Linked DNA regions of Drosophila melanogaster. The protein of the gene in region 2 interacts with the protein of the main gene of each other region in a pairwise test. Each region holds a gene or a part of one and is shown on either strand. Other genes may lie near its edges.

Region 1 (8,576 bases), on a different chromosome or scaffold from region 2:
CACAAACAGATCCCGGTGATGGGTGCTCACTCCAGAGTTCTGCTGCGGCTCATCCTTGACCTTCTGGGCAAGTTCACGCTTTAGGCTGAGAGCCTCCTTGATCTCGGCGTGATCGCACTGGTGCGAGTACTCCCAGATCTGTTGGCCAAGTGTGTCAATCTGCGCAAAGTTGAGAGCAAGTTAGAATCTTCTTCAATGAAGTATTTGGATACATTTACCTTGGTGATGCCCAGATACTCGACTACGTTTTCGGACACGTAGGTGATGTCTCCCTCGTGGGACAAGACCAACAGGAATCCGTCCATGGTCTGTTTGAGGAGCTCTCTGGCCTCAGCTCCGTTGAGCCAATCCTCAGTGCCCACTTCCAGCTTGGGCTTGACTTCCTGCTGATCCTCTGCAGTTTCAATGTCCTGCTTGATGTCATCATTGCAGTCGCGCAAGCTGGGCACTGAAATAAGTAATATATTAGATGGTGCTAACAAAGATTTCACATCCTAAGGGAAACTCACCGAACTGCAGCATTTCGCGAATCTTGAGGAAAGCGATGGTGATCCTCATCACGGAGGCCTTGTCCAGTTGGTTGACATCGTCGGTTTTCAATGGCAAAGCAGCCGAGAGTTCCATGAATATCTCTGTCTCCTTGGAGCGACGACATCTAGCCGCATCGCGAGACTTTTCCTTGCGTTTTTCATTGTTCCTGCAAAGATCGATCGGATGGAAAATTAGCATAAGCTCAAAACGAGCACGTACGCCAATGATCAGTGGGAAAAGGGGGGATCTAGCACGGGGGAGGCTGCCTGAAATATGCGTGCATTTGCATGGCTGCACTTTTATACCCGTTTGATTGCTTCTGATTCAATTCACGCGGCCAGAGCTCGCAATTTTTCAATTAAGCAAAACGCTTGTAATTTTCGCGTTTGTTGCCAGGTCGAGCGAAAAAACAAAAGTCGATCGACACGGCGCCAAAGTTCTCGGCAGCTATTCCTAGCCGTCTTTTCGAAAAACACTAACTAATAACAAATAAATAAATAAAGATGAAGATCAAAGTAAATGCTGGTAATCAAAATACTACTGCAGAACAATAAATTATATTCAATTCTAATAAAGCCTCATATCTGAAAAGAATCTCAATGTCGCGACTTTGTAAAAGTATTTTTCTTTTCAACGATGCTGATAAGGAATTTCTACGCATTCCTCATCTACAGAGTCTTAAAAAACATTCGAAATAAATCCAATATTGCCTAGAGGATCCTGACATACAGAGACGACCTCCCTTGGGATGGATACCTGTGCATTCCGAGCTGGCAGAAGAGCCCGGGGACTTAGATAGTTTATAACGTCTGTTTCGGATTCCGAGAATAGCCGGCAGTCACACGTTCCACTGATAAAAAGTGGCTAAGTTGCCTTGGCACCAATTTTCGTGGTGGTGGTCTTTTGGAATATTTCGCCAGGGGATTGACAAAACACCGATGATTTGGCAATTAGCGACTCTGCAGAGTTAGTTGTCTTCGCTGGATGAGTAAGTCCCATTTAAACCCTGGGTATCGACTCGTCTACATTGGCGACGTGTTTTAATCGGCAACCAAGCAGGCAAATCGATCGTACACACTTGTAGGACGACAGAGCACTGACCTCACACACACGACTGACACTATCTTTATGCCAATACGAGTATATTGCGGGAAATTCTAAGAAAAGACGGATGGCCCTCCCGCGGGACTGCGGAAAAACTGTAGTCTGCCAAGAAAATCTCTTGAGTAGCCGCATGCAAGAACATAACTCGTGGCTCTTAATATTTTCTTTATTATCGATATAGTGGGCGAACTTGTATAATCCACGGGTGACGCCCATTTCAGCACGTATGTACATTTATTTCCTGGCATTTTGTTCAAAATTTGCCAACGCTGCTTTATTGATCCGCTGGGATGAAAAAAGACCTGAACACGTCAGGTGGTTCACTTGGGAAAATCTGCCCGGTAACAACGCGAAAATATCAAACTTTTTTGTTAACAAACCCTAAGTACCGCCTGTCAACGGAGGAGTCGCAATCATCAAAAGTCCATCATATCAGCCGACAAAGTCACAGTACAATATGATCTATTGTCAGTCTGCCGCCTGTCTAATAATGGCTTAAGTATCTATTAAAAACAGTATTCCCGTTTTCTTTTACTGTAAGTAAATAAATTGAATAAATCGAAGCAAACTACTTAGTTGTTGAACATAATCTTCTATTATGACATATTTAAATATGAGATAGGACCCCACTAATCGATCGATTGTAAACAGAGGAAATCTTAACATAAACAAATGCTAAACTTGACTTTGCACTCGAAAGAATTTCTATTATTAAAAGAGTATTCTGAACGCCCAGATAAAACGTTGATTAGGAAACTCTGTGAAAGTGAAGAAACAATGCATTCAAATAAATCAAAAATAAATAAAACAGAAACCAGTTTAGATAAGAGGGCTTTTCATTGTCAATCAACCAACTGATGGATGGAAACCAAAGTTTGAAGCGAAACTCGAATGGCTGCTCAAATAATTATTATATAGTATTATATTACTTCGCCAGCAAAGTGAATACTAATATAGGCGTAGACCCGTGGATTTCTATATATATTATATATGCATTAATAAACACAAATCCGATAGTTGCTAGCTCGTGGCCCATAGAAAGCGGCGGAGAGTGACTTTGAATTGCATGCTAATGGCCTGCTTAAATGGTGGGATATTCGCCGGGGGGGTGGGGTTTTGGTTTGGGAGGTATGCACATACATATATATATTTTCGATCGGCCCCATTGTCTGTTCATTAGAACAGAGGCAAGTACGGCATGTTAAATATTCTGCCTGCGCCAGCAGAATTGCCTTGTTATTGCCGCTGGTGCTGCTGCTGTTGTTGTTGCTAAGTATTTCCGCTCCAAAGCAGCTCAAAACACTGAACAAAATTAAGCTATAATATTGAAAGCACACCTTAATATGTGTACTACCCTTCCGTATGATGATTATAATGATGTAGTATGCTGATCTTAAGATACCATTTTCCGCACTTTGTGTATGAAATGAGTTTGAATATGCAAACACCACGATCGCCGCACGTGGCCATCTAAGTCCTGCTGGCTTATCCGACAACACCTTAGGATACTGACCCGCTGTTGTTTGAGTTTGAATTGCGAGCATTGCGAAATGTTGGCCAAGCTACCTCCAAGTGCGCCGTATCTCCGGGCGAGATATCAGCGAAAACACATAAAATACGACTCGAAGTGCTAATGCCAAGTTCATGGGACAGTAAATCGAGGCGCAACAGCGGGTCAGGGATGTTTGGTCTCTTCTTGGGAGCACCATATTGTGGGTGGAGTTCTTCGGGCAGCGCCGTCCTGCAATTGCGTCAGTTTGGTTTCGGCTCATTAGCATGGAGATGGGCCAGCCGAATTTGGCTTAAACGTGTGCAAAACGTAAATAAACCAAATCCGACTACCATTACGAAAACATTTGCTTGCTGCGCACGTTGCATGCAAAGTTTTCAAGGAGGTGAAGTCCAGGGAAAGGGGCTGTAATCTGCGTCAATCGCCAGATAATCGTATACATCAACCAGATGGATTGTGAAACCTTCAGCAGACCCCTAACGATAACTCCTTGGGAAATACCCCACATAAAATCATCGGCGGCAGATAACAATTACACAACAGCACAACTGACAAGCAATTTACTATTTCCACGCAACAATCGAAGTGAGAGAAAAAGTCTTTTCCAGCCCACAATCTTATAAACGGTACCTCTCTTGGGAATAACCCACCGAACCTTGACTCATACGACACCTCTCTCGCGCCATAGTTCCGTCCCCCTCGCCCTATCTTTTGCTGCGTATCTAAATATTATTATAAAAGCGATTCACAAATAAGCATAGATAAGTGCAGCGCCGTTTGCTTTCGGCTCGGGTTTTACAATGGAACACGGCCAATTTTCTAGGAGCTCAGCTCGTTCAGGTGCCTCCAGGAAAATGTAAATCGCTAGCGGCATTCGGCCACCGATTCTAACTGGTTTTTGTTTTGTTTACTTGAATGAGCTAGAGCTCTCCACAGTTATGTAACAACAATTATTAAGCAAAATTGTGTAAATATTCGTACTTGAATACTATTTGATAATGAGATTAAGGAATACCCTTCGTGAAAAACGCAAAATCACAGAATTACCCAAAACAACAAATTGACCAACCACTTTGGTCGTCACTCACATGAAATCCTCGATGTCGACAAACTGGGAGAACTGGCAAGGTTGAGTGTTCGTGGGCGCGTAGCCATAGCAGTAGGCGTAGCTCCAGGGGCGGCTTTCGCGACAGGGCGTGGCCACGTTCAGAAGCGATCCCCTCTGGCGATAGAAGGCGTCCTGGGGCTGCTGCTGATGGTACGGATGGTACCTTTGCATCCCAGTGGAGGACATATTGGGGCCGAGCATAGCGCCCACGAAGGGTTGGCTTCCGGGAGCAGGGCCATTGTAGAATGACCCGTTGCCAAAGTTCACAGTGGGTTCATTGATGGGCATTGGCCCAAAAGCTGGGCCATTTCTGCTCAGCTGCCGCTGCCGCTGCGGCTTGGAATCGCACTCGTAGAAACTAGAACCGGGGATCACATCTTCGCCGTAGAACGAAATGTCGCCGGTACACGAAAAATCGCAGCTCTCGAAGGAATTAAACATTGAGTGCGCTGGAATCCGGCTAAGCCCATCGATGATGAACACACACACGCGTGCGATAAGAGCTGATAGTGTTTTGATTTGGCCACAACTTCACTGCTCCGGATATTTTGGTAGAACACGACGTACGGGAGTTCGAGCGCTAAATGAGCGAAAGGTTCCATAGCCTCGAAGCCATCATATTTATACCTGGGCAGCCGCACCAAAAAAAATCGCAAAAGAGCGGAGAGCCGACGTGAACGTCATATTCCGTGTGCTATCAGACAAGTTTGCCTATCCGGACAAGTGCGCTCCGGCCGGAGTGATAAGATAAAGTCCGGTCCGCCCGCCTCGTAGAAGCATTCAGGTGGCAGGGAGCCAGCGCTTCGGTTCTGCCCAATGGGACGATAACAGCGAATCGAGTGAGTGGCGGATTCAAATTAGAGCCATATAAATTATGTCAGTGCGCCCCACTTCAGTCGATAATTGGCTCGGACCATATAGTCTACTTTGCAGCGACGCCGGAAAATTTCCGCACGTCCAGGACCCATTTTCCGCCCATTTCCCTCGCTCACAAAGTGCAGTGCACGGCAAAGTCATGTTATAATTTTAGAATCTCTGCACCGAGAAAACAGTGCCACTCACTTCGAAGTGAAAATTTGATATAATATTCCAAAATTTTGAGTATTTAACCGCAGAACTGATGAACCATTTTTAGGTATTTCGAAAACTAACCAAAATTCGCACACACAAAATGAGAAGAAATATTAGAGAATTGATCTTTTTCACTGTGCGAGAAAAGCTGCTTGGATGACTAAATACTATCAGACTTATCCATGATTTCCCTAGTCGGCCGATAAGAACTATAACATAGGAGTTAAATATTTGGATTAGTTTGGCAAACAGCACGGAAAGTGAAACGAGATAAGGGAAGCTAGTTCCCCAGACCAAGCAAACGTAATCAAATCGCAATGTAATCAGCTCGTGGAGAAGGCAAAGGAACAGGCAGGGTCAACTTAAATCACTACGATAACCCCTTGTTTACCTGTTTATGCTACACCCGTCTATCACTAAACTATTTCGATGTTTAAATGTATTTCATATAAAAAAACAGTAAAAGTAGTTATTAACATTGTGAGCTTCTTGGGCTTCTCTTTTTGCAGATTGCCAGGAGTCCTTGTGATCGTTAGCTATGGTCTCATCTTGCATCATTCAAGGACTATCTTATAGAAGGTCTGTCAATCCTTTAGGTTGCTACAGTAACACCCGACGACGACCAATTAATTCGAAAGATGTCGTAAGAAGTTCATTGAGTTGTGGCAAGACCAGTGGTTAATACTTAATCCAAAGGAATAGCTGTTTACAACAGAACATCGTAAAGATCTTATCCATTCCCAAGAAAGAAGTTCCTTTGTTCTTGTTAATGTTGTTAGCAAAAAAATGACTTCCAAACAGGTTTCGCAATAATCTTAATCCGAAATTTTTGCTCATTTCACAAAACCTGTGGGGAATTTTCAGCGACTGATTCCAATTTATCGCCTTAAATATAAATTTAAACTTTCCCTGCCAGCAATTGCCGAATCATAACTTACACCGAATGCGATGCATATAGACCTCACACGCAACTGAACAAACGAAAAAGATTCGGAAGCTGCGCTACCTTCACGCTGTCTCCCTCACTCCGCTTATATACGTCTCTCTCGCTGCATCAAGTTCAATTTCATACAGAGAAAGAAAATTAATAGACAAATATATTGAATATGGTACAGTAAGACTAATTTATCTTTTTCTAAGAGAGCGACTGAACTTCGGATTTTACTATTTGAAATTTGATTACCAGTTATTTTTTTCAGTGCTCCAGTAGCAAGCAAGAGTGTAAGCATGTAAGGAGAAGAAGGAGAAGATCAACAATAACTCCACGAGCCTAATACTTGAATACAATGCCATCCATCTTTCTCTTTCTCCCTACATATACAATATATATGTAGTAGCACCATAACACCCCCTCGGGCGTTTCCATCCTCCCCGGATCGTCACATTTTTAGTTCGATTGCGCAAAAAGTAGGTCGTCGTGGCCAGACATGAAACAACAACAACAACAACAATAACAACAGCAGGGCATATCATTTAAATATTTTACAATACACACATGCTTGTGTGTAAGCGTGTTTTACTTTTGTGCGTTTCTCTGCGTTGGTATTGAAATTTATTTATTGCCGACTTGTTTTTAAGTTTATTCATTAGCTTCTTGGCGCAGGCCTAACAGCTTATAGAAATAACGTAAATAGAAAAACAAACATGAAAAATCTTGATTCAGATTCTTTCCTCCTCCAAATTCCGCCAACCAAGTCAACTTGTAATAATTCACTTTTATTGAGGTCACACCGTAGCTGCAGTTACGATCTGTTCAAGATCGCGTGTGCTGCAATCGAAAGAGTCGACCGATAGGCAAAAGGTTAGCGATGAACAATCGGAAAAATCGATGTTCAAAATGTTTGGGAAAATGCAATAAGACAATCTAAATTGACGTATTTCACATGGTGAGACGACTTAAGTCAATTGTTTTCATGTGTCACACTGCAAAATACATTGGAACCAGTTTGGAACAAATGGGAAAGACTCGATTTGTCGGTCAATGGGTCTAATCGAAGCTAGAGCGCATTTTGAAAATGGTTATAGAACCGCTTTTCGGCTTTTCCACACTTATTTTACTGCAGTTTTACGGTAGTCACGTAGGCCAAAGCGAAACTTTGTTTCAATCCAATGTAAATGTCTTGAGTGAAACATAAACTTATCGGTTTATGGGCTTATAAAATAAATAAATTTAAGTATTCGGAGGGGCGTGGACCAAAAACGAAAATAAAACAAAGCCAACAAAACGAAACACGAGGAAAAAAAACGGGTTGATCTTGGAGCAGGGGGGGCAGCATAATCGAACAGGTTTTCCTCATTGTGTTTTGGGTTTTCGCCTCACTTAAAAATAACCCATAAGTGCGTAAGGAAAAAGAGAACAATGCACTCGTCTAAAAATAAATCGCATTCAACGGGGGGGCTTGTCTTTGTGAGCCCTTTAAGGATAAACCTTCTCAAGATAGCAACAAGTGTTTTCAGGCCTCTCTTCTTGCCGCAATGGGCACTCATTCTCCTATCGTATACCCCCTAGATATCATATTCCACAGCGGAAACCAACCATGCATATGCAAACTGAACGATTTCGGTTCGTCTCGACTTTTGTCTTTGAAAGCCTGAAGGTCGCGGGTCTCGGCCATTGGATTCGCCGTCGCCATCGATCGTATAATAATTGCCGCGAATGCAAAAATTAGTTGAACGCGTGATTAATGATTGGCTTTCCATTATATCCCAATGCCTGTTTCGTCAATTAGTGACGCCCATTGAGGGAAGTTCACAAATTCCAGCCAGGCGGGAATTGAAATTCATTAAGTGAAATGCAATTCGCTCCCGTAAGGGTTAAAAGCGCTCTTATTTTTGGCTCAAAATCAGGCAGTAAGGTTGACTCATCTATAAGATACTGATTGCATACGAAACCCATGAGGACCTCAACGAAAGAAAATCAATCAATGTTGATAATTAATTAATTAATAGAGTGGAAATATAAATTAAATGTCAAGACTGAAATGTATGTGTAAGTTAGGTGTCCAGTTTGTGAAAATAAACGAATAAACATTGTACGTAAGGGATTCCCGATTGGCACTAGATTCCATTGATGTATCAACATTCTGATTCCAGATTGTTAAAATAAACGAAATACCGCATACGCACTAGGAAATTGAGAAGAAACGCGAGAAGCGGCGGATGGCAACGAAAGCCGCGACGAGCAATAATATCGCGACGAAGAGCGGGCGAAAAAGAAAGCAGGCGCTTATGCAATGGGCAAACAAGCGATCT
Region 2 (6,680 bases):
AAGTGGCGAACAAGGAGCCATAAAATAGGAGAAACACAGCAGCAGCTGCAACAACACTTGCGTGTCCATCATTAGAACGAATTCTCTCACCTGAGCCCCGCGCCCACTTTCCGCCTTTTCTTGTAACGCAATTTGCACACAAATGCTGCTGTTTCATCTTCGTGGCTTTGGCTCTTTTTGGTGGGTGGTCAGGTGAGACAAGCAGCACCACTAGCTCCACTAGCACCACCATATGACGCCGCACGAACCGCTCGCTGAGCCGCCTGAGAATCGTATTTAAATACGAAGGTCTAACGCTGGATCGCATCAGTCGTCGCCGTCGCGTTGTTCTAGCCGCTAGCTCCTCTCGAAGATCGCAAACCAAGTCGGAGTTTAAGACGGGTTCCAAGATCGGATTGGCAGACGATCGAATCGAATCGGATTTGTTGGGGGAATATAAGTTTATGTGGTGACTGTGCACCTGGAACAGGATGCCCGTTTGATACTTGTTTCATCTCTCGATTGGATTAAAACGAATGCGATTTGAATGATGTGGCATCTGCATCGGCACGCGAATTCCCTTTTGCTTCTCTGCGCAGTTTTAGGATACTTTTCGGATCCTGCGAGAGCCGAAATCGAGTACAATACCATCAGCGAGGATGGATCTTTTCAGTTTCGGTACATAGATGTGTGACAAACTATAGTGAACATTTTTAAAGGATATTAAGCACTGAAAAAAAAATTGGCATTATGGATTAAATGGATATGCATTTAATTGCAAATGCAACACCCTGTGACTCAAGAAATTTGATGAATAGTTTTTGTTACAATTGCAAAATTTTGAATTTAGTAAAATTTTCAATTTACCTAAAAATGCTTTAAAAGGCAGGATATTTTGACAGAAATTAGTAATTTCCTTCGTAATACGATTATCATAATACCTACATCGACTAAGATTTTTAATAGGATTTTAAAACTTCACAATAAAATTAATTCAGATAACATTGAAATTAATATTTTTCAATTTTCAACTCATTGCATTAGTCATCACAATAAAAAAACTTAACCAAATAACATAATTTACATTAAATAGAATAGAACTTTCATTGTCGTCCAATTTCCTTTTAAAAAAAGGATTAAAAGTAGTTAGTCGCTGAAAATAAGAAATAACCTTCCCCAATTGCGTACAAACTTAGCTGTTTGGTAGAATAATAAACCTTTTGAAAAGAGAACAACTCAATTACAGTTTTTTAGCAGCCATGGGTCATAAATCTAACAAATCATCTAATCGGTCAATGATGTCTGCTACCTTACCATCACCATTACACCCGAGAAAATTTGAGATTTTTAGCACCTCTTTAACGCCTCAACGTTTTGCAACCACAACAATAACACGCTTCCGACCATCTTTCCCTCTCCATTTCGCACGCATGGGGCAACGCAATTACTTCTGTTTCGATGGATCCCACCTGGCATGGATAATGGATATGCTGCTGCTGGTACTGCTACTGCTACTGCTTCCAATCGGCCAAAAGACATGCAAATGATGACATTGGCGGCTACTATCACAGCGCCTCGGGCACTCCGGACAACACGGTGCGAGGTCGCTACGGTTCGCGGAGTCCGGCGAGCGGGCAGATCGAGGAGACGGTCTACACAGCCGGACCACGTGGGTGAGTAATCGAAGACGGTAGCCAAGACTAGTGGGTAAAGTGCGCTGGTGCACTGCAAGAAAATAGTATCATTTTAGAGTGCATATGTGTGGAGAAAAATGCATTTAAAATTGATGATGTCAAAATATGCGTAAAAGAAAAACATAATTTTTAAAATATATGTATTTCAAATGTTTTTAAAAATAATTAGGCAACGATAAGTTCTGTGGGTATACATGACTCGAAGGTAACTTCCTTGAGGAAGGTCGGCGGTTTTTTCCTGAGTGTATTGGCCGCTGAGGAAGTGGCAGCACAAAGTGAGTTATCTCCCCTCGATGTCAGAGTTGAGCTCATATATCAGCGGTTGGCGGCAGGCGGCGGCCACTGAAGCGAAACCCAAACAAACGGAGGGGGATCCATGGAGTTGGAGCCGTTCTAACACATTGGACTGCTTTTTCTGGCGTTGCCTAAACGTTTTTCCATTACCGCTTCGGCGCTACTGTTGTTTTTTGCAATCTCCGGTAAATCGGGGGAAACAAAAAGCTGTTAACAAATTGACTGGCCTGAGAGATTCGAGCCAAAAAAAAAAGAGGAATGGATTGTAGATGGCAGATGCTCAACGATAGCGATGATTCTGAATGGGATCGTTCCCCGAGATGTGTAGTAATCGAAGTAATGGCGTGCCGGGCTAAGATCGAATCTATATTCAAAATTGCAGTGCAAGTCCGCTTCCGCTGAAAGGGTTTACCCAATCCCCACTCATTGTGTCGGTAGCTAATTAATCTCCCTCTATTTCCCACATAGATTTCGCGTGAACGGACCGAAAATCCATCGGAAAATGGACCTGGCTCAGTATCCGGTACTGCCGCGGGGAAGTCCGGACGATCCGCTGGCCGATCCCTTCGACGATCCATCCTACAGCTTTAGTTTTCGCACTCCGGATCAGTCGCGCAGCGAGGAGAATGATTCCGGGAATAGGATAAGAGGCGAGTTTAGCGAGTATGGTACTTAAGAGTATATTAACTGATTCTATCCCAGGTCTGTACTCCTATTTGGACGACGTGGGCGAGCGGCACAGTGTTCGTTATGCAGCTGGAGCCGGAACCGGATTCGAGATCTCCAACGCTGTGCCGGACAGCCCATCTGTTGTGGCGTACTCCAGTCCTCTGTACACGTCCCATCCCAAAGCACGCGGCAAGATGTCTGTGCAAAGGGGGCCGGCTGGAAGCTATAAGCTGATCGCCTCAGGTTCGGATCACCGACGGGCAGAAAGTCGAGCACCCGATGGCCTGGTGCGAGGAACCTACTCCTTCCTGGACGACAAGGGCGTGCAGCGGACAGTGGAGTATATAGCTGGAGCAGGAATTGGCTACCGGGTGGTGCAAAATCGGATTGGTCCTGGAACCCATAACAATCCCTCTGTGGCTGATTTTCGTTTGACAGATCCAGATTTCCGACTGGCTAATGATTTTGGCAGGGGTGCTGGTGGTGGCTTAGGTCCGAAGGGAGGTGGTGGTGGATCAGGTGGGGGAAGTGTTTCGGTAGGAGCTTCGGGGCCAAGTGGTGGTGCAGGTGGAGCGGGAAGGGGCCGTACTCCAAGCAGACCCGGAGGCAAAGATTACCTAAAGCCGGCTGATGGAGCAAGAGATAGGAATCGTGGAGATGGTGATGCTGGGGCAGCTGATGAAAATCTGGGACACCATGCTGATGACCAAGGGGATGACATTGGGCTTGGCAGCAGCTCCTCTGGTTCCACCAACTTTAATGGCAAAGAAGACAGAAGAGGGTTCCCTGCGGGTAGTCCGCAACGGGGCAGTACTAGATACGATGCCGGAGGTGACAGCTCTCAGAGAGGTGGTTCAGGTAGCTCCACGAGAAACAATGTTAGTGGGTCCCGAAACAGAAACCGATTCGGCGGCGTTGGTGGAGTAAGTGTCTCCTCTGAGCGGGGAGCAGGAAGGGGAGGTGCTGCCGGTGGTGGAAGCAGTCGTCGAGGAGGTGGAGCTGGAGCCTCCAGGGAAGGCGACTCCGGCCTGGGCTACCTGCCGCCCACAGGTGGATCGGGCACCAGTGCCATGAGCGGACCCGGGGACAATTACCACCTCAACGATGACGATGTGGGCAGTTCACTGCCTCCTCTGGTCACCGCCAACCACCGAATTCTAGAGATCGACAGGGATCGGGAGTGGGTGCAGCGACACCGCGACTCCACCGTCATCAAGAACGTGGGTAAATGGTACGTGGGCCTGCCGCCTGGTCAAAGTGTGCGTGCCCATGTCCAGAACATCGACATAATACCCTTGGGCGGAAGGATCGGACTTTCGCCGTCGGAGGCACTGCGTCAGGATGAGATCGCCGAGCTGAATGCCTCAAGGGAGCACTAAGCACCCATTGGATCTGTAGATCTGTAGTTTGTAGTGCGTAGCTCTAAGTGATCAGTGTTGAGTAACCGAAACTGGGTTGACTCCACATGGAAACTAAAACAGTATTTAAAGCGGAATACATTTTTTGCCTGTATCTGTATCTCAAACTGTATCTGTATCTCTAGCGAATAGTTATTTGATATCCGTGGATCCGGGTATAAGCAGGTTAATCTGCACATTGCGGTTTCCTTGAATCCACATATAACCCCATGACTTAGCATGCTCGGAGTTTAGTTGTTTCTGAGACTTGAACATGATGTTGGTGCTTTTCATTGCTTCGCTGATAGTTTCCTGTGCTCAAGGAGCGCAAGTGTATATGCAGTTCAATGGACAAGGATACTCCTACAACACGGATGGCGATAGATTGGATAGGAGTGTCGTTAAGCCTAGTTTTGGGGCATCTTCTCTGGATTCCTTTGGTCCGCTGAACTTTGTGCATCAATCTCTGAGGACAAGACAGAATCCACTTTCCCGGATTTCCTACAATACACAGGATAACCTAGCAGTGGCAACATCTTCGCTGAGTGCGGGCTACCAATTAGCATCGACCAACCACCTGAAGCACCGGCAAAGCCAGCAAAACTTTGATTTCAGCACCGACCAGATGTCGCATGCCCAGCACACCGATGAGGCGGGAAATGTTTTGGGCAAGTACTCCTACTACGATGAGGCTGGCTACCATGAGCTGAGCTACAAGGCGGGCGCCGGCATCGGATTCGTGGTCATGGGTGGCAATTTGGCCAAGGCCACCACCGCCGCTGAACCGCACTCGGAAATCGAAATCGGAAACGGAATCCAAACAAATGCCTTGACTAGCCTGCAAGAGTTGCATAAATATCGTGGCTACACGTAAATAAAATATATTAGCCAAAACTATTGCTCGTTCTACTTGGGTGTTTTGCGTTATTTACTGGAAGTCTTTGGAGATCTGACAGTGTCACCTGTCGTGTTTGAGACCTACGTGATCGGGGATCTGAACTGTAAACATATGTCAAAGAATGAATGACTTGTAAAACAGAGTTCATTCAAAGAAAAGAGTGCAGCTTTGCTTGGTTATAGAATGCAAGCAATAGTCAAATATTATCGAGAGCTCTGGATTTCATAACTTCTACGCGGCACAAAATTATCTTTGGATCGGAAGACATTATATTAACATTTATAAATAATGGTGAAATTAAAAAAAAAATGTACGTAAAAATAGATGTCCAAAAATGTATGAATTCTTTTTGTAATTGTAAATCTTGGAATATAATATTATGCTAAATAGGACGGTAGAAAGAATATTTTTCTTCATTTTAAAAAGAAACATAACTTGAGTTCCATAAAAGCGGTCATCGCATTAATAGAAAATTTTCTTGCCTGGACATAATTTTTAAACGTTTTACAATAAAAATGTTTGCATAAAGTAGATAAGGGTAAACATTGTCAGTTTCTGATCGTAAATGATTGTAAGAGCTTTAATTGCTTGTGGCGCGTGCTTTGGCACGATACAACTGCGGCGATTTATGCATGTTATAAACCCTAATTGATTTTCCGATCATAAAAATGGTTATATTCGGTCGCACAAAGTCATTTTACAAATGGACAGTGCATCCCAAAGCCAAATTGAGTCAGCTCTGTGGCTTATTTATTTTTGTTTGGGCAATTTCATGTCGGAAAGGGACCAAAATAATACAGCATTTGAAATGTTCGACGCGTGCGCGCACTTGCCAAATAATTTGAATCGAACGGAAAGCCTTGGCGTCCACGGCGTGGCCTAAATAAAATATATTTCTGGCCGCGCGAAGCCAAGAAAAGCCCATAAGCAATAATAATATGCATATTTGCTAAAACAAAAAGTTATTACATGGGCCAGTTTTGACCGAAAGTTTCACTGCCACAATTAAGTTTTAATGTCAAGAGATCTAAGCGAGTGATTTCCCTGAAACAAGTTCCTACGCACTCGAAAACTTTCTTCGCCGAATGCACTAAAAGAACGTACAGAAGAGCACTAAAAAGCTTGCCATAGCTTGACATAGATTCTATTCGGCCGGGTCTAGGGTTTGTATGGCTGAAATGGCCACGTTCTCAGCGTAGAAATCAATGGCTCACCTGGGAAGTAGCCGAGGTGCATAATTGGGTTAGCGTAGCAGCAGAACGGCCTGCATTGAAACCACAAATTACTGGGGCTCCGGCTCTCCCAGGTGCCAGTTAGCTGTTTCTGTTTATTTTCCCCCTCATAAACAACGGTTTGGGCTGGGATTCTCCTCCTCGCCGAAGGTCAGACTTAATTGGCCCGGGCCTAGGCAACGACATCCCACTAGCAGTCCCGTTTCGCCTGCATTTATAAATAGGCCCCAAGGTCTCTGGGTCTTGGGTCTTCGGTCTTCGGTCTTCGGTCTTCAACTTCTCGACTCGCTCTTCGGCTGCTTGGATTTCAGTTGGGGTTCGATTTATCGCCTTTTGATTGCTGCATTCCAATTGTGGATCAAGTGGTGCGTGTGGCGCATTCGGGGCTTACAACGTGTTGCTGCTAATTTCGTATGCTCCCTTCGGCTCTGCGCACTCGAAACCATAAATCTTGTGGCAATTTTATTGATGCCTGCGTGTGCCACAAAGGTCGACCCCCCGTTCGATGCTGCTTAAT
Region 3 (7,939 bases), on a different chromosome or scaffold from region 2:
AGAATATGTGTGTATGTGCTTTAAAAATTAGCTCCTTTACGAATCGATAACATACAAGATAAAGGAAATGCTGTGTTAAGCACCTGCACTAAGGTTATTTATCATTCTGTTAGTGCAAATTCCTTTCAGCTTGTTATATAAATTCTCAATGACCTCCTTCTCCATCCACACAGCCCTTTTAACTTTCAATTATTACAACATAGACACATTAGCCACACAGTCCAGTTCAATCATCGAAGTGCTAAACACTATTTCACCATATCCCAACAATAAAAAAACAACTACGGCAAATAAGACTGACCCATTTAATGCCGGAGAAAGAGAAAAACACATTTTTGCGTTCATAAATGGGCTGCGTGAAATATACGGCAACCGGATCGGTTAAGAAGCGTCAGTAAATTAGCAAATATGTGACTTGGCCATTGCGAGAGTCTGATGAAAGCTGGGCGCAAACGTGAAGCCGAGGGCTCAGACCACCGGTAAACACCAGGGCCCCAGCTTCATTGAAGGCGTGTCCGTGGGGACCCAAAGCACCACTTTTTGGTTTCAATAATCTGAGACTTTTTAGGATTCAAGACAGCCCAAGGAATGCAGTTATAAGTGATACCGTGGACCACCCCGGTTATGTAAGCCAGCTGATTTTTGTCGCTGTGCAGACCTAAGCCAATGGGCCGACTGTTTACTCCAGGGCGCCCCTTTTTGGCCAATGGCCAAGACCAAGACCAAGTCCAAGTACGAGTTTCTCTCTCCGCGACGCCAACGTTGACGGATGACGACGTCGCCGGAGCGGCGCTGCCGAAAAAAAGGCAGACCGAAATGAACATGTTCACTTAACAAACAAGTTGACTTTGTTTCCCCGCCGTTCTCTAGATTTATGCGGCTGCGTCTGTGACTCTTTTTTTGGGCCCTGTCTCCAATTCGGAGTTCGCTCTTTTCGCGTCTTGGCCATAACTTCCGCCGTCTCTCGCCGGGCTTTATTTAATTTACTTTTGAATTGTTTTGTAATGCGCACCGACTGCGACGCCGACCGAGAGGCCCAATATATAAGGCTAGATGTCCGGAGACGCATACATCAAACTCATCTCAGCGCTCCCTCAGAAAAGCAGCAGCCCGAAGCCCAGAATTGAAACCCCGGATCAGCTATATTAGCAAGGATTAACCGCGTCTAAATACCAATCGATCGAAAATGAAAGTGTTTGCCATCGCTTGTGTGACCCTCTTGGCGGCCAGCTGCGTCTTTGCCGCGCCCAGTGTTCAAGACAACCAGGTCGAGGGCGACAATACCCTGGGCCGGGCCGCCCGGTATCTGGGCGCCTGTCTGGAGAGCGACGACATGGCCACCTGCCTGGCCGTCAAGGGCATCACCGCACTCAACCGCGCCGCCAGGAGCAACAACATCGAGCTGGCCAGTGGAGTCACCTTCCAGAGGTGTGTGTTTTTTAACAGTGAAAGTGCCTGGTTCTTGAAACAAAAACCAAATCGAAAGCGAAACTGTAACCAAAAGAAGAACGTGCCCGAGATGAAATCTTCAATCCGTGTTAGTTAAAGTAGTGATTGCATCACAAAAGTTGACTAGGAAAGATACTTAAAATGAAATTATGATATCAAGATATGTAGGCAATTAAAAATAAGTTTAGAGAAATTAGTTATTAGATAGTTATATTCTGATACCCATTTTTTATGGTCTTTATAGATTTAAATGGTGAGCCAAGGCTAAGGCTAAAAACACTTCATAATTAATGTTAATTATTATTGGAATTCTTACATAATTCCAAAAATTATGACAGTAAATTTAAAAGTGGTATAATAAGACATTAGAGGCATTCGGCATATAAGTTGTCATAAAAGTTAAGTAAATGTGAAAATGTATTTATAACTTACAATATCATTTTAGGGATCCCGCCAGTCCCGTTTCCCGCACGGGAAAATCGATGAGCGAGCAGGATGTCTATGCCGAGCTGCCCCAGAATGCCGATGAGCGTACTGGTCGTCTAGTGGATCTGGCCGTCTCTAGTGCCGCCGACTTCCTAAGCACCCACAACCTGGAGTTCAAGCTGCCCGCCGAGACCACCCAGCAGGTGGCTCGTGCCCTCGATGAAGGTGGGTTTTGACTTGGGATACGATAAAACATGGTTACCTAACATCCAATCACAGGCCGTGGCAAGATCAAGAAGATGCTGGGACCCGTGGCTCTGGCCATTGGCGCCAAGCTGTTCGCCGTCATTCCCCTGGTGCTCGGGTTTCTGGCCCTGCTGACCTTCAAGGCCGTGATCGTGGCCAAGCTGGCCTTCTTCCTGGCCATTCTGGTCGGCGGATCCCGCCTGCTGGGCGGATTCGGCAACAAGTTCGGAGGTAACTCCTTTGCCGGAGCCTACAACTCGAACGCATGGTCCGCACCCGCCAGCGCCGGCTGGAGCTCGGGAGCCTCCTCGTCCTATCCCTATGCCCGCAGCATCAGCGAGGATGGGTCCGATGCCCAGCAATTGGCCTACGCCGGCCAGCAGCAGCAGTAGAAGCGGCTGGGAGACAGCTCAAACAGATGTGCCTTCGTTTTGAAACCTTTAGCCTGTAGTAATTTATTCGAAATGTAATTAACTAATTTATTGACACACCACGCACACATCACCCGCAAGTCAAGTCGAATGTATGAATAAAACCAAGAGTATTGCACCCGAAAAAAATATAATCCGCAAATCCACGCACGTGGACAGTGCTCACCTGTGCCCAGAGACTTTCCCAGTTTCCCAGGGCTTAATTGAAATGCTGACAGACCCCAAAACAAATATGTGGAACTTTGCTCGCTGGGCGGCAACAAGTTTGCGGCTGGCAATTAAAACTTGTGGCAGGTTCTGTTTCTGAACACAAAAAAAAACCCAAAAGAACACAGAAAATGTTGAGAAAAAGAGCTGATAAGCTGGGGATTTAGTTTTTGGCAAGTTGGTGGCCTGCTCATAATTGGAGTTTCTAGTGGCCATGTGACGGCCGTTCGGCATGTTAATTGTTTGCCAGAAACTTTCTACTTATGCTCATAAAAGTGTCACTTTGCGATTGAAAAGAGATATATGCGGCGATGTGCTACAATTCAGCTTTCTTTCACAGGCAGATTTAGAAGCAATTGAAATAGAAAACAAGCCACGAACGACAGTTGACAAAGGGAGAATGAAATCGAAAGCGTTGAAAGCGCCAGAGTAACTAACTGGGCCAAATTGTGCATTAAGTCACCACCGGCGGGGCATACCAAATACGTGTGGGTCTCGCAGATCCACCACTATATTCTCCGCTCCATCGTGAGCCCTGATGGAGCTAATGGAGAGGAACAACCGGCCAAGAATCTGGCGCAGGCAATCCCAACACGTAGCACCGGCGACTCCATTGAATGCCAATTAGGATACGGATAACGGTCGAGCACCCGAAATCGGGCCACTTGCTTATATAAAATATATGTATGGTATATACAAAAAAATAATATTCAGCCGGCCGACCACTGGCCACTTCCCTTTCGTTGACATCGCGACGTGCGTGGAAATATGGTCAAGAAACTGCCGGCCAGGTAGCATACGCATATGCTTTGCATAAATTGCTTTTGGATTTTTGGTATTGCCGTTCGGTATTGTTATTGTTATTGCAGCGGCGAGCGGTGCGTTTTGGATTTTTGGCCTGCCACGCGATTTCTAGCCACAAAATTGGTCAATCGACGTCAAATCGAAATGGTATAAAACGCGGGGGCAGTGCATTCAATTAATCACAAAGCGATTCCCGTTCACATCGGCAGCACTCACCAGCTCCAGGCAGCCGTCCCACGGATTATAACCTACCCAAAGTCAAGACACCCCCAAGTGCTAATAAAAATGTGCGCGAAATTCGTATGTGTAGTGCTGCTGGCCAGCCTTGTGTGCGGTTCCATGGCCCTTCCCTCCCAGGACAACACCGAGCGGGACCTGGTCAACATGCTGAACCGCTTAGACAGCGAGGAGTCCGTCGCGCTGTTCGGCGGTCTGAGGATCGACCGGTCGGAGTCGGGCCGTAGCTTCGGTGCATCCAAGGCCGTCGAGTCCTTCGAGGACCGCGCCGAGCGCTACCTGGAGACCCACGAGCTAAACCTCTCCTTCTCCGGCGATGAGCAGGACGAGAACTCCGAGAACGAGTACACCGGACGCGCCATGGATGGTGAGTGATCTTGGTTTCCTTTATTTGAAAAACAGAATATAGTTTAATCCAAAGAAAAAAAAGCTATTTAAGCTACTTGCTTTTAAAGTTTTCATATTGCGTTGAATATCTTAGATACTTAATATTAGGTCAGAATTTAAAAATTTGTATGTTTTTGAGAGACATAAATCGATAGAATGGTAGTAAATACGTGAGTTGATAGCCAAAGAATTTTGAAATAATTTTAAACGAGTTATAAGTTACATTTTTATTAATTACTACAAAAACAGAGGCATTCGTGCGCATACGAGAATAGCTTTGGTAAACCGTCCTGGCTCTCAAGTCGTTCCTGTTCTGTACGGTAAACGAACACTTCAAAGTCTACTTACTAAGGCTAAACGTACTAAGGTCCACTCTGCTGTGCAGAAAGCCAACTGCCAAAAGCAAAACTACTAGCATACTCAGTTGTGCTGACGGGAAGCGAAGTGAAAGCTTTACCTCGACTGCCAGGCCTTGAATACTTTTAGGAGCATGGCTAAAACCCCGATTTCTCTTTACTTTCTCCCTCCCGGAATAAACAGAGTCCCGCAGCAAGCGCATGAAGAAGATGCTGCTGCCCCTTCTTTTGGCCCTGAAGCTGAAGAAGGCCGTCGTTGTCAAGATTATGTTCACCATCATCAAGTTCATCTCGCTGAAGGCTCTGGCCATCTCCTTCCTGGCCCTCATCCTGGCTGGTGAGTTTACTTTTAATGATCTCAGGAATAGCACTTTTTACCCACGTTTCCCGCACAGGTGCCACCTTCTTCAAGGATCTGTTGGCCAAGAAGAAGGAACACATCACCACTGCCTACATCACCGGCAGCCCGCTGAACGCCGACATCGTGCACTCCGACTGGAGCCGCAATGGTCAGGCAGGTGCCGCCGATCTGGCCTACAACCACTATGGTCTGGCCCAGCCCTTCTAAGCCGGAAAACACCCACCGATCCATCCATCCCACTCTGTACTAGCCTCTATCTTTCACCTGCTATATCTTATCCTACCAAAGCGTCTCCCTTCTTCAACTTCCCCCCACTTCATCACCATTTCCACAACCTATCCCTCTAAGACTTTCCTGAAGAATGGCCTAATTCGTAGTCAATAATTATTTAGTTACATTTAGTTAGTTAGCTGCGACATACCAAAAAAAATCACAAAAAAAGAGAACTATTGAAACGGTCCCTCGACTCTTGGCTAGCCCAAAGGACAATGCTTAAGGATACTACGGCCAATCAATGATTGCGCCATAATTATTGCACATTTCCCCATCCACATGTCTCTTGGCGGTCGTACATGTCACTCAGGTTCATCGAAAGCAACGAAGATTATGCCTGCTAAAGAGCTTACTTACTAAGTATTTATTCGTACAACTTAAAGCAATTGAATAAAAATGATTCATCAAATGCAAAACCATAGAATCTTTAAACTTTTTGCCCGAGTCGGAAACTTTGGAAATGTACAGGTATTATACTTTTAAAAAGGCAATGACTTGTATAATTTCCGGCTCAAAGCTTCCTTATTGAGTCTCAAAGGTATTTTCTGAAAAATCACTAGGAAGAGTGTGAGCATCAAGCTGGAAAGTGAAATTAGTGGCTTTTACTTAAACACTTTCCTTGAACCTCTTGCAAAAACAAATCCATTGAAGACACATTTCCACTTAATTATATTAGCAAAGTTGAGTTTGGGCCCGTGGCTTTCTTTGCGTCAACTTCCTAATTGATGTTTAATCAAATGTCCCACTTGGCGTTGGTATAAAAACACCACTCATGCTGACCAAAAGTCAACAGAATCAATATGAACGGCTTAAGCAACAAACTCATTGGCTGTCAGATTAAATTCGCCTTGATTGTTGGCCTTTTGGTATCCTTGGCCTGGGCACTTCCTGTCGAGGATGATGGAAAACCCCTCATAACTGAAGATGATGCTGTGAACACCGAGCAGCCAATCGAAGCTGCCCCTGTGGTTGAGGAAGTGGAAAATGTTGGACAGCTCCGATTCCCGCCTTTCAATAACAATGGAACCAAATTGTTCGAAAGATTTGGAGAAAAATTCAGGAACAAGTGGACCACAACTACAACCACAACGACACAGAGTACATCAGGATAAGCTTCATAAGAAAAATTAAAAGGATCAACACACAAAAGATTGTCACATACTTCACATAAATATTTATTTAAATTCATTTTATTATGCCCGAAATAACTTGTCTTATCTTTACAATAAAAATACAACGTATAAAAGCATATAAGAGTATGTTGAAAACAATATTTTTGTCAACAAAAATGTTTTAATAAAATTAAAAACACTGTTTTTAAGTGAGCACTGTAGTAGTCTAGTAGATTGCATAATCGTTCCAAGCACCCACTATAAGCTCAGATTGGGAAATAAGACACCTGCTAGGCAAAAAGCGAAAATCAAAAGTCGACCAACCAATTGGTCATTAGCACTGCATGTAATCTGAATATTAAACAGGTCGTTCTCGGCGTGGAAAGATAAATTTCTTCATGGCCAATACGAGGAAAGAAAGTAGCGAAACGACGCTGGGTCAGACACAAATGAAAATGAAGTAATAATTAACAATGAGTTGTTAGTTAGTCCCAGTTAGGCAGGCAAAATGTTGGGTCTTAATTTATGAAGGTCCGAGGCACGCGACGTTTATCAGGCACTTGTAATTACCTGAACTCCCGAGTCTGGGAGAGTTTTCTTCTCGGACTCTTGGGGAATTCATTGGCTGGAACTTTTGGTGACAGAATTAGCCGGCCGTTTCGCAAGACCGACCTCCGCTGGCGCAGAGGAAAGCGAAAGTGCCGCCCAGTTGGACGCAGCTGACTGACGCTGGGAAGAATTTCGACCACAAATCGTTTGAGTAATTAGAAAAGCACAAGGGCCCCAATACGGACGGAGTACGGTTTGGTGAAAGGGAAATGCGAATGGAAACCGTGGCAGCGGGTATAAAAGCGAAGGCCTTCAAATCGAGATGATGCAGACTCACAAACAGTCTCCATTGCAGTAGATAGCGAAGATGTTGCTGACCAAGACCGTGAAATATCTTTTTTACTTGGCCTTATTCGCCTTCATGTGCAAATATGCCACGGCTGCCAGTGTCCAGCCCACCGAAGTGCCTGCAGTTGCTCCGGAAACCATTAGAATACCCCAAAGGGCAGAGAGCCTTCTCAGTGGCTGTGAAGCATCTTCCTTCAGTTGGATGTGCCTCAAGATCGAGTTTGTCAAGATCATGGAAAAGCTTGCCGAACAGGAGGAACTAAACGTTTTGCCAGGAATCAGCGTGGTCAAGGATGAGAACGCCACCGAACTCAAGACATCGGAGCTCATGGCAGGTATGTTCTTGAAAACACAAAAATAAAGACAAAAAATTTTAACTTTCGACAATATACAGAAGTTGCTCGCAGCTATCCCAGTGACCCGAGCACTCGCTTGAATGGCTATATAGTAGCCAAACTGGAAAACCTTCTGAGAACGCGGTTCCTACGATTTCGCCTGCTGGATGACAAGTCCCTCGTAGAAGGTCGCAAGCACAAGTTCGGCAAGAAAGGAGGCTTGGAGGCCCTAGTGGCGGCTGGAGTCATGATGAAGGGAATGCTTATGGCCATGGGCCTCGGGGCCATCGCTCTGATGGCCGGAAAGGCTCTGATGACAGCTTTAATGGCCTTGACCCTGTCTGGAGTCCTCGGTCTAAAGAGCTTGGCCGGTGGCGGGGGAAAGTCCACCACATACGAAATAGTGGCTAAACCAATT

Evidence for each region. The genes of interacting proteins can lie anywhere in the genome.
Region 1: the proteins of CG13022 (region 2) and sima interact in a two-hybrid assay, tested with the Drosophila melanogaster proteins (one large-scale study listed by BioGRID).
Region 3: the proteins of CG13022 (region 2) and Osi15 interact in a two-hybrid assay, tested with the Drosophila melanogaster proteins (one large-scale study listed by BioGRID).

Annotation. Positions count from the first base shown.
Region 1 is NT_033777.3:30,059,196-30,067,771, reverse strand, and holds the start of sima (uncharacterized protein), read right to left. Parts: upstream 4,851-8,576; 5' UTR 4,695-4,850; coding exon 4,234-4,694; intron 698-4,233; coding exon 510-697; intron 449-509; coding exon 219-448; intron 160-218; coding exon 1-159. UniProt on the Drosophila melanogaster protein: Functions as a transcriptional regulator of the adaptive response to hypoxia. Binds to core DNA sequence 5'-[AG]CGTG-3' within the hypoxia response element (HRE) of target gene promoters.
Region 2 is NT_037436.4:16,936,573-16,943,252, reverse strand, and holds CG13022 (uncharacterized protein), read left to right. Parts: upstream 1-4,300; 5' UTR 4,301-4,310; coding exon 4,311-4,907; 3' UTR 4,908-4,923; downstream 4,924-6,680. Other genes in the region: Cpr73D (cuticular protein 73D), read left to right, coding at 530-657, 1,515-1,652, 2,436-2,617, 2,670-4,015.
Region 3 is NT_033777.3:6,298,065-6,306,003, forward strand, and holds Osi15 (osiris 15), read left to right. Parts: upstream 1-3,739; 5' UTR 3,740-3,848; coding exon 3,849-4,167; intron 4,168-4,727; coding exon 4,728-4,880; intron 4,881-4,938; coding exon 4,939-5,111; 3' UTR 5,112-5,589; downstream 5,590-7,939. Other genes in the region: Osi14 (osiris 14), read left to right, coding at 1,187-1,428, 1,895-2,100, 2,155-2,513; CG46396 (uncharacterized protein), read left to right, coding at 5,978-6,289; Osi16 (osiris 16), read left to right, coding at 7,206-7,521, 7,581-7,939.